Linked DNA regions of Macaca fascicularis. The main gene of each other region encodes a partner of the protein of the gene in region 2 in a complex. Links are inferred from orthologs where the notes say so. Each region holds a gene or a part of one and is shown on either strand. Other genes may lie near its edges. The genes, in order: UCN, CRHR2 and GNA11.

The links.
Region 1: the proteins of CRHR2 (region 2) and UCN are in contact, whole or in part, in a cryo-EM structure (PDB 7TS0), measured with the Homo sapiens proteins. The link is inferred for Macaca fascicularis from reciprocal best matches to the Homo sapiens genes CRHR2 and UCN. Residues at the interface, in NP_001874.2 of Homo sapiens: Phe68, Asn69, Gly70, Val71, Tyr73, Ile101, Leu102, Asp103, Asp104, Arg107, Asp110, Tyr113, Leu117, Asn120, Trp166, Leu169, Gln170, Val172, Asp173, His174, His177, Glu178, Thr188, Phe191, Asn192, Phe199, Phe256, Gly257, Lys258, Asp265; in NP_003344.1 of Homo sapiens: Asn84, Pro85, Ser86, Leu87, Ser88, Ile89, Asp90, Leu91, Thr92, Phe93, His94, Leu95, Leu96, Arg97, Thr98, Leu99, Leu100, Leu102, Arg104, Thr105, Ser107, Gln108, Arg111, Ala112, Asn115, Phe119.
Region 3: the proteins of CRHR2 (region 2) and GNA11 are in contact, whole or in part, in a cryo-EM structure (PDB 7TRY), measured with the Homo sapiens proteins. The link is inferred for Macaca fascicularis from reciprocal best matches to the Homo sapiens genes CRHR2 and GNA11. Residues at the interface, in NP_001874.2 of Homo sapiens: Arg148, Tyr208, Leu209, Ala212, Ile213, Thr216, Glu220, Lys293, Lys307, Ala311, Phe358, Tyr359, Phe362, Asn363; in NP_002058.2 of Homo sapiens: Arg37, Ile348, Leu349, Asn352, Leu353, Glu355, Tyr356, Asn357, Leu358.

The regions. Positions count from the first base shown.
Region 1 is NC_088387.1:94,910,389-94,913,379, reverse strand, and holds UCN (urocortin), read right to left. Parts: upstream 1,422-2,991; 5' UTR 1,330-1,421; exon of another isoform or gene 1,080-1,329; 5' UTR 1,067-1,079; coding exon 692-1,066; 3' UTR 572-691; downstream 1-571. UniProt on the Homo sapiens protein: Acts in vitro to stimulate the secretion of adrenocorticotropic hormone (ACTH). Binds with high affinity to CRF receptor types 1, 2-alpha, and 2-beta. Plays a role in the establishment of normal hearing thresholds.
Region 2 is NC_088377.1:99,597,583-99,601,677, reverse strand, and holds the start of CRHR2 (corticotropin-releasing factor receptor 2), read right to left. Parts: upstream 2,904-4,095; 5' UTR 2,787-2,903; coding exon 2,703-2,786; intron 1-2,702. UniProt on the Homo sapiens protein: G-protein coupled receptor for CRH (corticotropin-releasing factor), UCN (urocortin), UCN2 and UCN3. Has high affinity for UCN.
Region 3 is NC_088393.1:3,791,760-3,795,857, reverse strand, and holds the start of GNA11 (guanine nucleotide-binding protein subunit alpha-11), read right to left. Parts: upstream 2,842-4,098; 5' UTR 2,552-2,841; coding exon 2,416-2,551; intron 1-2,415. UniProt on the Homo sapiens protein: Guanine nucleotide-binding proteins (G proteins) function as transducers downstream of G protein-coupled receptors (GPCRs) in numerous signaling cascades.

The DNA.
Region 1 (2,991 bases), on a different chromosome or scaffold from region 2:
CGAGCTGCCTGGCGCCTTCGCAGCACCAGCCCACCGAGCCTTCTTTCCCGGGTACAGGCCTGCGCCAACCCGACCCTGCTCGAGCGCCCGCGCTAGGGTCGGGGAGGATCTGCGCAGAGACCGCGGCATCGCCCAAATCGGCGCCCGCCCCAGGAGGATCTCAATAAAGAACTCGAGCGTCCCCGACCCGTATCTCCTTTCGCTGCCCAATGCCGCAGCCTCGGCTTCGGAGGCGACCCGCCCACCATCCTGCCCTTCCCAGAACCTGAGACTATCCGGGGGGCGGAAGCCAAATGAACCCCTATTGGGCACCTCTGTGATGCCAGGAGCGAAATGGTGAGCCCAGCGCCCTGGGAAAAGGGTCGAGGGCGGGGCGGTGGTGCTGGGACCTCTGAGGTCCTAGGGATTTGGGGACCCCTGGAGTTCAAAGGCACCTGGCTGACCTGGCTGAAAGCCGCTCTCCTGGAGCCCCCCACAGCATTTTGTTCCCCTCCCGCTGGCCCGGGGGCCCCACCTTCCCACGGGCTCCCACGCTGCTGTGACTGCCCTGCCCCCACGACAGAAGCCAACGGGTCTTCAGTACTTTTATTAAAAAATAGTCAAGCAGAGAGTGCCCTGGTGGCTCTGCCCCGCATCCCAACCCTGGGGTGGGGGAAAGGGGTCAAAGTTTTCGCGGCCACAAACCGGGCCGTCACTTGCCCACCGAGTCGAATATGATGCGGTTCTGCTCGGCGCGCTCCCGCTGGCTCTGCGTCCGCGCCAGCTCCAGCAGGGTCCGCAGCAGGTGAAAGGTGAGGTCAATGGACAGAGGAGGGTTGTCCCGCCGCGGCCGCTCGCCTGCCGTCCCGGGTTCCCATCGGCTGGACCCTGCGCGGCGCGAGAAGCGCTCTGCCAGCAGCAAGAGGAGCGCGCGGGCCCCGCCGCCCTGGTTCCGTGCCCCGGGGCTCCAGCGCAGACTCGGGTCCTGGACCCCGGCCGCCTCGGGGCTCCTCTGGCTGTTCCCAGGGCACAGCTGTAGCAGGAGCAGCAGCGCGGCCAGCAGCGCCGCGCGCCCCGCCTGCCTCATGGTGCCGCCGGCCCTGGACACACAGGGGCAGCGCAGGGTGAGGTGCGCCTGGGGCAGCTGCAGGAGGCCGCTCCCCTCCCTGCGCTCGCCCGGCGACCCTTCCGGTAGCCGCCCAATGCCCGCAGCCTGCCCTCCAGCCCCGGCTACTGCGCCAGTGCTGTTCCATCCCTTCCACCCAGCTTCCCTCCCGAAGGAGCGCGGTGGCTGAGCTGAGTGGAGTCCTGGTGCTGGGGGAGGCTGGGTGGACGCTCTGAGCCACTCACAGGTTGTCGGCGAATGTTTGTACGGTCCAAGATTGAGCTCCAGTCTCTGTCCCTCGGGGCGGGCCGAAGGCGCCTTGGGGAACACAGGGTCTGTCCCGGGACTGCCGCCAGCCTTATATAGCGACAGGACAGCTCCGACTGACGTCAGCGAAGAACATGCACTGATTGTAGAAGCAATGACAGCCACAGCTTCGAGTCTGGCGGCTGGCGGGCCCCGGAAGGGCACACCTCCCGACATGAGCCTTCGTCTCCCTGGGGCTAGCGCTGGAAGCAGCACTGGACGCAGGAGAGCGAGAAGCTGGCTGGGGCGAAAGGACTGCTCTGGGACCCACGGGAGTCCCTCGCCCTGCTTAGAACCGCCAGCAGTGACTAGGGCCGTCACCAGACCAGACTAGTCCGGGTCGCGTGTTCTGACACACGAAAGGGAGGCGGGACCGTGGGGGCTGTCCATGGTGCTGACCTCGTCCTGCGCCTCTAGAAGTGGCTAGAGATGATGTGAGAACGCTGTACTGCTGCAAACCACTGCCTCGTGGCAGCTATCAGTTCTGCAAATGCAGGTATCAGGAGTCCACCGCTGGCACTCAGCCAACACAGTGGGTCCCATTGAGAGGCAGTCTTCCACAACCAAAGTCTCCCAGCATTCTCATCTTTTTCCAGCCCCAGGATCCAAATTCTAGGGCTGTCTCACACAGGCACCATGTAACAGAGGGTCTCTGGCCTCCAAGTGCGTTCAGACCACAAATATGGCCCATCTGCTTTTGAGTTTGTCCAAAGTGGTAGTTTAGCAAAGTTCCGTTTCTCTCCTGGGAATCATAGCAGCAGTATTACTCTGCCCATGAGTAGTAAAGAAATATGGGTTCAAGTTTCTGCTAACTCCTGGTGTGGGCAGGTCACCTCCCTTCTACCAACCTCAGGGTTCTCAGTTGTAGAAGACTGGGCTTGGCCAGGCGTGGTGGCTCACGCCTGTAATCCCAACACTTTGGGAGGCCGAGGCAGGTAGATCACGAGGTCAGTAGATCGAGATCAGCCTGGCCAATATGGCAAAACCCCATCTCTACTAAAAATACAAAAATTAGCTGGGCATGGCGGTGCGCACCTATAGTCCCAGCTCCTCAGAAGAATCACCTGAACCCAGGAGGCGGAAGCTGCAGTAAGCCGAGATAGCGCCATTGCACTCCAGCCTGGGAGACAGAGCGAGACTCCATCTCAAAAAAAAAAAAAAAAAAAAAGATTGGGCTTGGTGGTCTCTTGGCTTCTTTCCAGCTCTAGAAATGACTCCCCATTACCACTGCAGATTCCGGATGACACATTTAATAACATATTTACTGAGGCATCATATAAAGGGTTCCGGGGGTCTCTGAAGAGCTGGAGCTACAAGGCTAGGCAGGGTTAGAGTAACAAATGTGTCTATGAAGAGTGGGGATGAGTGGCATTTGCTGGGATATGTGTGTAAAGTTGATAAGGTCATGAAAGTTCAACAGATATTTATGGAGTGCCTAGTATGTGGTGGGAATAAGACTATTATCAAGGGCTCTAAAGCAGTCAGTGCACATTTTAGAGTGAAGGGAGCATTGCAGGGTGCTAGTCCTCTTAAGTTCTGACTGGCAACCCAACCCTGTGGAAACTAGTGTGCCCACTTTAGGAAGTTGTCTGACCGTTCCA
Region 2 (4,095 bases):
GGGACTGCCAGGGACTTCTCCGTGTTCTTTTCTCTTTGCTGAGCCTTCTTGGGGCAGATGGGCCCACCAGAAGCCAGGACCTGGGCAAGAGGTCATAGAGGCACCATCGTGAGACGCTATGGGGGTGTCTCGCTGTCCAAAGCTCCAAGGAGCTGAACTCAGTCAGCAGGGGCTGAGAAGCTCCTGGGATCTTCACAGAGTGAGAGGCAAGTGGCATTGCTGAGCCTCTTTAAACCTGTTTCCTGTCTGTGAATAAGTGGCCCCACCTTCCCAGTGTTTGAGTAAGGCGCCTAACACCACGTAAAAGCTGCCAGATTACTGCCTGCCTCCAGAGCAGCTTCCCAAAGTCCTCCTTGGAGAATAGGGAGCACTGGGGTCAAGGCTGGGTGGGTTCCTCCAGGCCTTCAGTGTGTCCTGGGCCAGGGCATCCTCTTCACTCAAAAACAGCAGCTGGAACCCCTACAATTGCAGATCAGACCAGTCCTCTCCCCTGCTCAGAGAGCGCCCCATGTCCTCAGATCCCACAGATGTCTTTTCAGGGTATGTCCTCAGATCCATACAGCTCTGCAGTCTCGCACAGATGTCTTTTCTGGGTTGGGGCCCTGGGGCCTTCCCCCCTACCTTCTCCCCCATCCCTTCCCTTGAACTACCCATCTCCATCCCTGCTGTGCTGCCCACCTCCTACCAGGCTCCCCCAATCCTGTCAAGGGCCCTCACACCTACACATACTTCTTCTGAGCCCATTTACTGGAACTTGTAAATACAGACTCCTTTCTTTCCTGCCACACCCCCTTCTGGGCGATAAACTCCACAAGAACAGGAACCAGATTAGCGTTCAGACCCTGGATCCTCCCCATGGACAGTCCTCCTTAAACACTGGATGAATAACTGAGAAGCCTCCGAGGCCAGGCTGGACTCTCCTGGGCTGCCTTCTCTCTCTACTTCCTGCTCCAGGTCTCATCGTCTCAGGACCCAGGAAGAAGTCCCATTGCCATGAAGGCCCAGCGAGAGGAAGGCTGGGCTTTGGCGTCAGAAAGGCTGGGGTTTAAGTGCTCTCCAGCTGCTTACGTGCTGAGTGGCTGTGGGCAAGTAACTGGTCTCTATCCCAGTCTGGGATCCCCGGGAGAGCTGGGGACAGGGCCTGGGATGACCCCAAGGGAAGCTGAGCCCACAGTGTTGCCCTGAGAATCCTAGGGCACCTCTGGAGCCGCCAGCAGAAGCTTCCTCCGTCTAACTAGCTTGGGTGGCTGGCGGCATGGCCCCCAGAGGGACGGGCTGGGGGCCACCGTTGCCCCAATACTTGGATCTCCTGGAAGGCACTTATCTGGAGAACAAGTGGGAGAGGGCAAGAGAACTCAAAGCCCAGGATGTCTTTGGGGGCAGAGGGGTGGATGGTGAACCCCCTGCACAACTTTCACCCATCCCAATTGCAGTCTGCAATGTCACTCAAAGGACTCAGCCGGTCTGGGGGCCATCTCCCTATGGGACACTGACCACAGCTCAGCATGGTACCTGCCTCCCACCTCTCTCCTCCACCTGGCCAGGCCCCTAGGAAGGCAGGGACCCTCTGTGGTGCTGTATCTGTGGTGCCTGGCACAAAAGCGTAGCTGGCATTCACTGCGTGCTCACACCACACCAAGCATGATGCTGCGTGCTTTACTTGTATTACCTCAGTGTTCCCCACAACAAGCCTGTTCAGTAAGCACCGTTGTCATCCTCATTTGACTGATGAGGAAACTGAGGATTTGAGTAACCTGTCCGAGGTCACACATTAAGCAGCAAAGCAGGGATTTGGATTGGTTTTGTTGGCAAATATCTGTTGAATTACTGTTGAATGAATTATCCTCCTTATACATATAGGGACACTAAGCCCCAGAAAATGGTCCCCAAGGCTGGTCTGTGGGGGGAGTCTTGGACAGGGACAGGCCTCTTAGCTTCCACTCTGGCACCACTCCCCAGATTGTGAGGCCTAGGACAGGTCCCCCTCCCACTCTGAGCCTCAGTTTCCCCATCTGTAAAATGGTGGACCACTCCCACCAGCCTCTCCCCTACTTCTTCAGCTCTCTTTTGATGGCTGCTCTGTGTCCCTTCACCCCACCTTCCATCGGTGGCCCCTAACTCTGGACAAAGGCACGGGGTGTGGCTGGACAAAGCTCAGAGTCTCGAGAAACCTTTGGAGAGGCTGGTTCTCCCAGAGCCCATTCTGTCCCCATCGCTCATCTGGTACTGGGGGCCGCCTGATTTCAGGCACTGAAAGGAAGGGTGGAGACAAGGCAACAGGGGCAGGAGGTGGCTCTGCGGGTCCCCGCGGGTAAGGGTCAGAACTAGGAATGGGCTGGGGAAAGAAGTCAAGGATCCTGCAGGAGAGATGGAGGGGGGATCATGGGGGTGGGGAGAGAATGGACAGGAGACAGGGAACCTTGGGCCCTGAGGTAGGCAAGTTCTGGACACTAGGGTGTCACCCCAGAACCCTCTGCTTATCCACAGGGGACTCCCAGTCTCATCCTGGCCGGCCTCACAGTTTCATCTTCCCTTCCCCTGCCCCCTCACCCAGGCACGGAATCTCCAATTCATCATCAAGACTCAGGGATCCCCGATCCAGCCCAGTCACCATGCCCTGAGACCCCCGCCCCTAGTCATGAGAGCTGGGAGTTCTGCGCTCCTGGTGCCCCACCTCGTGGACTCCCACTCCCTGCACTTACTTGGAGCAGCGGTAGAAGGAGGCAGAGCAGGCAGAGGAGGTGTGGGATGTAGAGGAGGCCTAGGGGCCCTGAGGGACCCCTCATGCCAGTAGTGGATGGGGGTTAGGGCCCCGAGAGTGCTGCCCAGCACAGTGGCCACACCCCGGCCAGCCCCACCCAACCTGGCCCTGGAGGGGAGGCCTGAGGTAAGGCCCTGGGCACGAGGGGGTATTCTCCACCCACCTCTTCCACAGGGCAGCAGTGGCCCCGCCCCACAGCCCACAGCCTCCAGGTTATTTATAGCTGGTGCAGGACAGCTGCTGCTACCCAGCCAGCCAAGGGGCTATGCTCTCCCTCCAGCCTGCAGAGAAGGGGTTAATGCCTTCTATCTGCTTCCAGCATTGCCGGGGCTGTAGCTCCCCAGGTGGGAGAGAGGAATTGAGAAAAGGAGGAGGGGGCCTAGGCTGTGGTCCCTGCTTGAGCACAGGATTGGGCTGCCCTGGGTCTCAGCTGAGCCAGCACTGCCTAACACCTATCCGGGGAGTTTTAACAGGTGCTAATGCCTACTGGGATGACTGAGATGGGAGGGTGGATGCTGGGTAAATAGTAGTACTGTATCAATGCTACATCTGCCGATTCTGATACTGTACTGTGGGTAGGTGAGAGAATGTTTTCATTCTTGGAAAATACACATTTAGGATTAAAGAGGCACCATGTTTCTAACGTACTTTCAAATCATTCAGAAATACACTCACATAGATAGATCTATAGATAGAACAAGAGAGCAGATGAAGCAAAATGTAAATTGTTGGTAAATCTGGAAAAGGGGTATATGGATATGCTTTGGATCATTCTTTCAACTTTTCTGTACGTTTGAAATTCTATCAAAATGAAACGCTTAAAAAAAAAAAAAAAAACCCAACTGACAGCAAACACAGCCATGGCAGGGCTCACCCAGAGATTCCAATGACGTAGCTTGGGATGGGGCCCGGGTGTCTGTATGTTTCAGGAAATGGCTAGGGATCCTGATGTCAGGTGGATCTTGCGGAGCAGTGCTGTTCTTGTGGGGACAGGTTCAACCTGGGGCTGGGTCATGGCTCATGAGGTGAGGTCTGTTCTTCTGGAGCCTCGGAAGCCTCCTTGGGAGCTGTTCCTGACAGATGGGCCTGGTGCAGGGGGTTTAAAAGCTTAAGCCGCAGTTGCACCTTGCTTGTTGTTAGGATCTGAGGGGAAAGCATGTGAGGAATGTGATTAGTGGGGCACCAAGCTTTCTCCTAGAGATGCAGGCAGGGCCAAGACCTTGGAAAACTCAGTCCCAATTTAAGTAACTCAGACACTCTGTGCTCCTTCTGGTCTCCCTATCTGAGACATGGGACACTTTTCTGTCCTTGAGTGCCTCCTCCCTACCCTCAGC
Region 3 (4,098 bases), on a different chromosome or scaffold from region 2:
GCGGAGCACTAGGACCTCCGCCCAGAGGTCTCTGAACATTCCATGGGCTGCAGGCACCACAGCCACCTGCTGCAGCCCAACAGCCCCCTCCTCCTGGGGAGCCTCGGCCCCACCCTCCCGCTGCTCCCTGAAAAACAGGGGCAATCGCAAGTTCGGGGCTGGCCTCCTGGGAGAGTGGAATGAGTTCCCACAAGCAGGCAGGGAGCCTGACAGAGGTCCCCTCTCCTGTACCCTGGAGCCCCAGCCCCTGGACCTCAGGTGGTCAAAGTCCTCCCAGCAAGGGGCCCTCCAGCTGGGACGCAAGGTTGCTTGGAGGGGAAGTTTTCTGAGGGCCTGTCGCATCAGATTCCCAGAGGGGTCCCTGGCCCCAGCACCTAGAGTGTGAAGCCCTTCCAATCCCCTGGCAGCCCCTGGCCCTCTACGTGGCACTGACACCCGTCCTCCTTGGGTCGTACATAAGCTCACATCTTCGTCACTGCCCTATCTGCCCCGCCTGGCCCTGAGCCTGACAGCAGCCTCCCATCTTACCAGCTGATAGGGGTCAACTTCCAGCTCACAGAGTGGGAGGGGCGGGGCTGCAGACACAGGTGCTCCTGCAGCAGACACCCCGGGCCACAGTTGGGCACTGCACAGAGGATGCAGGAAGGGCCGAATCACTTCCAGATTTGCTCCAAGCAGCCAAGGCTGCAGACACGGGAGCCCCTGACCTTCGTCCTTGAACCCCGTGTCAATCTCAAGTCCAAAGTGCAGGCACAGAAGCCTGGGTGCACGCGGAAAAGGTGGCAGGGATTCGGGAGGTCACAGAGCCACAGAGCAAGGCCATCTGGTAAGATCTTTATGACACCAGTAATTCCTAACTCCCCTCCATCCAAACAAAGTCCATGACCCACTACAAAAGCCAGTCAGTGCCACTCTGTGCAAGGGGCCACTACGCGGGCTCTGCCTACCCGTGTCCCCTGGAAAGACGGCCCACTTCAGACCCCTTAGGTAAATCAAAACACAAGTTTGGGGGAAAAAATCAGGAGGGCATTTCATCCAAGGCACCTCTCTAACCGGGGACATGGAGGCCGCAACAGGGTCACAGCAGGAGAGAGGCAACCGTGTTCCCCACACAGCACCCAACCTGCCTCCTCCCCAGGAGCTACCGCCACCAGCACACCCCCTCCTCCGTCCCTGCTGCCTCTGCACCCATTTCTGACCTTCCCCACCGCCCCTGGCCCCCGCCCCCAGGCCAGGAGCTAACCTAGGAGCTCGGGAGGGCAGGGGCGGGGCAGGGCAAGAGCTTTCTGTTTTGTAAACGACTGCAGGGACCCTTATTTGGGGTGACAACACTTTACAGCTGGCCCGACTGGCTCCCTGCAGCAGGCGTGCCTTGGGGAGACGAGGTTCAGCAGCAAACCTTCTCCAGGACGGTGGGGAGGAGCCGGGAGGTGGGGGCCTGCTCCCAACGGGGACTCAGTGTGGCTCCCACCAAGACTCTAAGGAAGGCGGCGGGGGAGGCTGCCGAGACAGCTGCTTCGGACAACAAGCAAAGGCTCCCTCAGGTGTCAATCGCCCCACCCTCAGCTGAGCAGAACCCTGTCTTTTTCCCACAGGGCGCTTTCCAGCCAAGAGGACTATGGGGTTTCCCGGAACAGGAAGGCAGGAGAATGGCCCTGAAGGGAATGGGGGGTTAGGGGGCACGGAGGAGTCTTTGGGGGGTGTATGGGGCCTGCATGGAGGGTACAGGGCTCTACCTGGAGGGAAGGGTCAACGCGGGGCCCTGAGAAGTGAGGGGTGAGTATGCCCTGTGGGTTACAGCCCAAAGGTCTGGCCCTGAAGGGGTAGCGAGGGGTGGGTACTCAGGTGGGGTAAGGTCAGAGGGTCCCTGAGCAGGGAGGGGCTGGTCCCTTGAGAAGTGACACAAGGCAAATCTTGGAGTCCTGGAGGCCCAATGTGGCGGCAGAAACTGGGAGCTGACCTAGGAGGGATCCCGGGCCTGATCTAGACAGCACAGACAGGGGCTGACGCCCGAGGGTCCCTGGTGGCAACGTGAACAGCACAGACAGGGGCTGACCCCGGGATCCCAGGTGCCAATATGAACAGTTAAGGCAGAGGCTGACCCCAAAGGAATCTGGGGCCCGGAGCTGACCTCGGAGGGTCCCAGGTGCCGACCTAGACAGCAAAGGCAGGGCTGAACCGGGAGGGCCCCGCCCCGACCCGGACAGGCCGGGCAGGCACAGGCAGGGTTGACCCTCGAGGGTCCCGCGATCCGGACAGGCAGGGAAGGCACAGGCAAGGCTGACCCCGGAGGGTCCCGCAACCCGGACGGCAAAGGCAGGGCTGACCCCACAGGGTCCCAGCCCGACCCGGACAGGCAGGGCGGACACAGGCAGGGCAGGGCCCGCAGCCGGCAGGCCCGGGGGCCGCACTCACCGAGCAGCAGCAGCTTGAGCTCGCGCCGGGCGTCGCGCTTGTCCCGCCGCAGCTGCTTCTCGATCTCGGCGTTGATCCGCTTGGACTCCTTCACCTCATCGCTCAGGCAACACGCCATCATGGACTCCAGAGTCATCGTCCCGGCCCCGGCCGCCGCGGCCGACTCCCCGCCGCCGCCCCCCGGTCCCCGGCCCGGCCCTGGCCGGAGCCGCCTCGGCCGCCGCCCGCCGCGGCCCTCCGGCCTCGGCCCCCGGCCCTCGGCCCCGGGCCGGCCCGCCCCGCCTCGGCCGCCGCCTGGCGAGCCGCCGGGTCCCTGCTCGGGCCGCGCCAGCCGCGGACTCCCGCGCGGCCGCACTTAGCCCGCGCCGCCGCCGCAGCCACCGCCAACCGCAGCCGCCGCAACCGAGCGACAGCGCCGGACAACCTAGCAGGCTGGGAGCGCAGCCCGCGACAGGCAGACGGTGTGGCCAATGGGAGGGGCCGGCGGCCACGCGCGCCCACCGTGGGGGCGGGACTAGCGGCCTGGGCGGGGCGTCGGCGGGCGCGAAAGGGGCGGGGCGGGGCGAGGGCGGGGGGCCCGCGGGTTTGGTTGCGCCGACGTGGGAAGGGGGACGCGCAGCCGGGAGCCGGGGCGGGGCCGCCCGGGATTGTGGGAATGTGGCGGACTCGGCCGGCCAGGCTCGGCTCCGCTCGGCTTCGTTCGGCCCCGCTCGGCCCCGCTCGGCTCGGCCAGATCGGCCCAGTCCGGGTCGGGGAGGCGCCCACGCGGCCGCTGCGCTCTCTGGGTCTCCAGATGCCCGGGAAGCTCCCTGACATTGCTTGACAGGAACCTTCACTCATCCATTATAAAGCGTTAACGGAGGCCGGTCGCGGTGGCTTCACGCCTGTAATCCCAGCACTTTGGGAGGCCGAGGTGGGCGGATCACGAGGTCAGGAGATCGAGACCATCCTGGCTAACATGGTGAAAACCCGTCTCTACTAAAAATACAAAAAACTAGCTGGGCGAGGTGGCGGGCGCCTGTAGTCCCAGCTACTCGGGAGGCTGAGGCAGGAGAATGGCGTGAACCCGGGAGGCAGAGCTTGCAGTGAGCTGAGATCCGGCCACTGTACTCTAGCCTGGGCGGCAGAGCAAGACTCCGTCTCAAAAAAAAAAAAGCCTCACGCCTGTAATCCCAGCACTTTGGGAGGCCGAGGCGGGCGGATCACAAGGTCAGGAGATCGAGACCACGGTGAAACCCCGTCTCTACTAAAAATTACAAAAAATTAGCCGGGCGCGGTTGTGGGCGCCTGTAGTCCCAGCTACTCGGGAGGCTGAGATGAGAGGATCACTTGAGCCCAGGAGGCAGATGTTTCAGTGAGCAGAGATGGAGCTACTGCACTCCAGCCTGGGAAATGAGAGTAAGACCCTGTATAAAAATAAAATGAAACAAAACAAAAAACCAGCGTGGCCAATATGGTGAAACCCTGTCTCTACTAAAAATACAAAAATGACCCAGGCGTGGTGGTGGGTACCTGTAGTCCCAGCTACTTTTGCTGAGGCAGGAGAATTGCTTGGACCCGGGAGGCAGAGGTTGCGGAGAGCTGGGATCGCACCACTGCGTTCCAGCCTGGGCAATAGAGTGAGACTCCGTCTCAAAAAAAAAAAAAAAAGCCAGGCGCAGTGGTTTATACTTGTAATCCCAG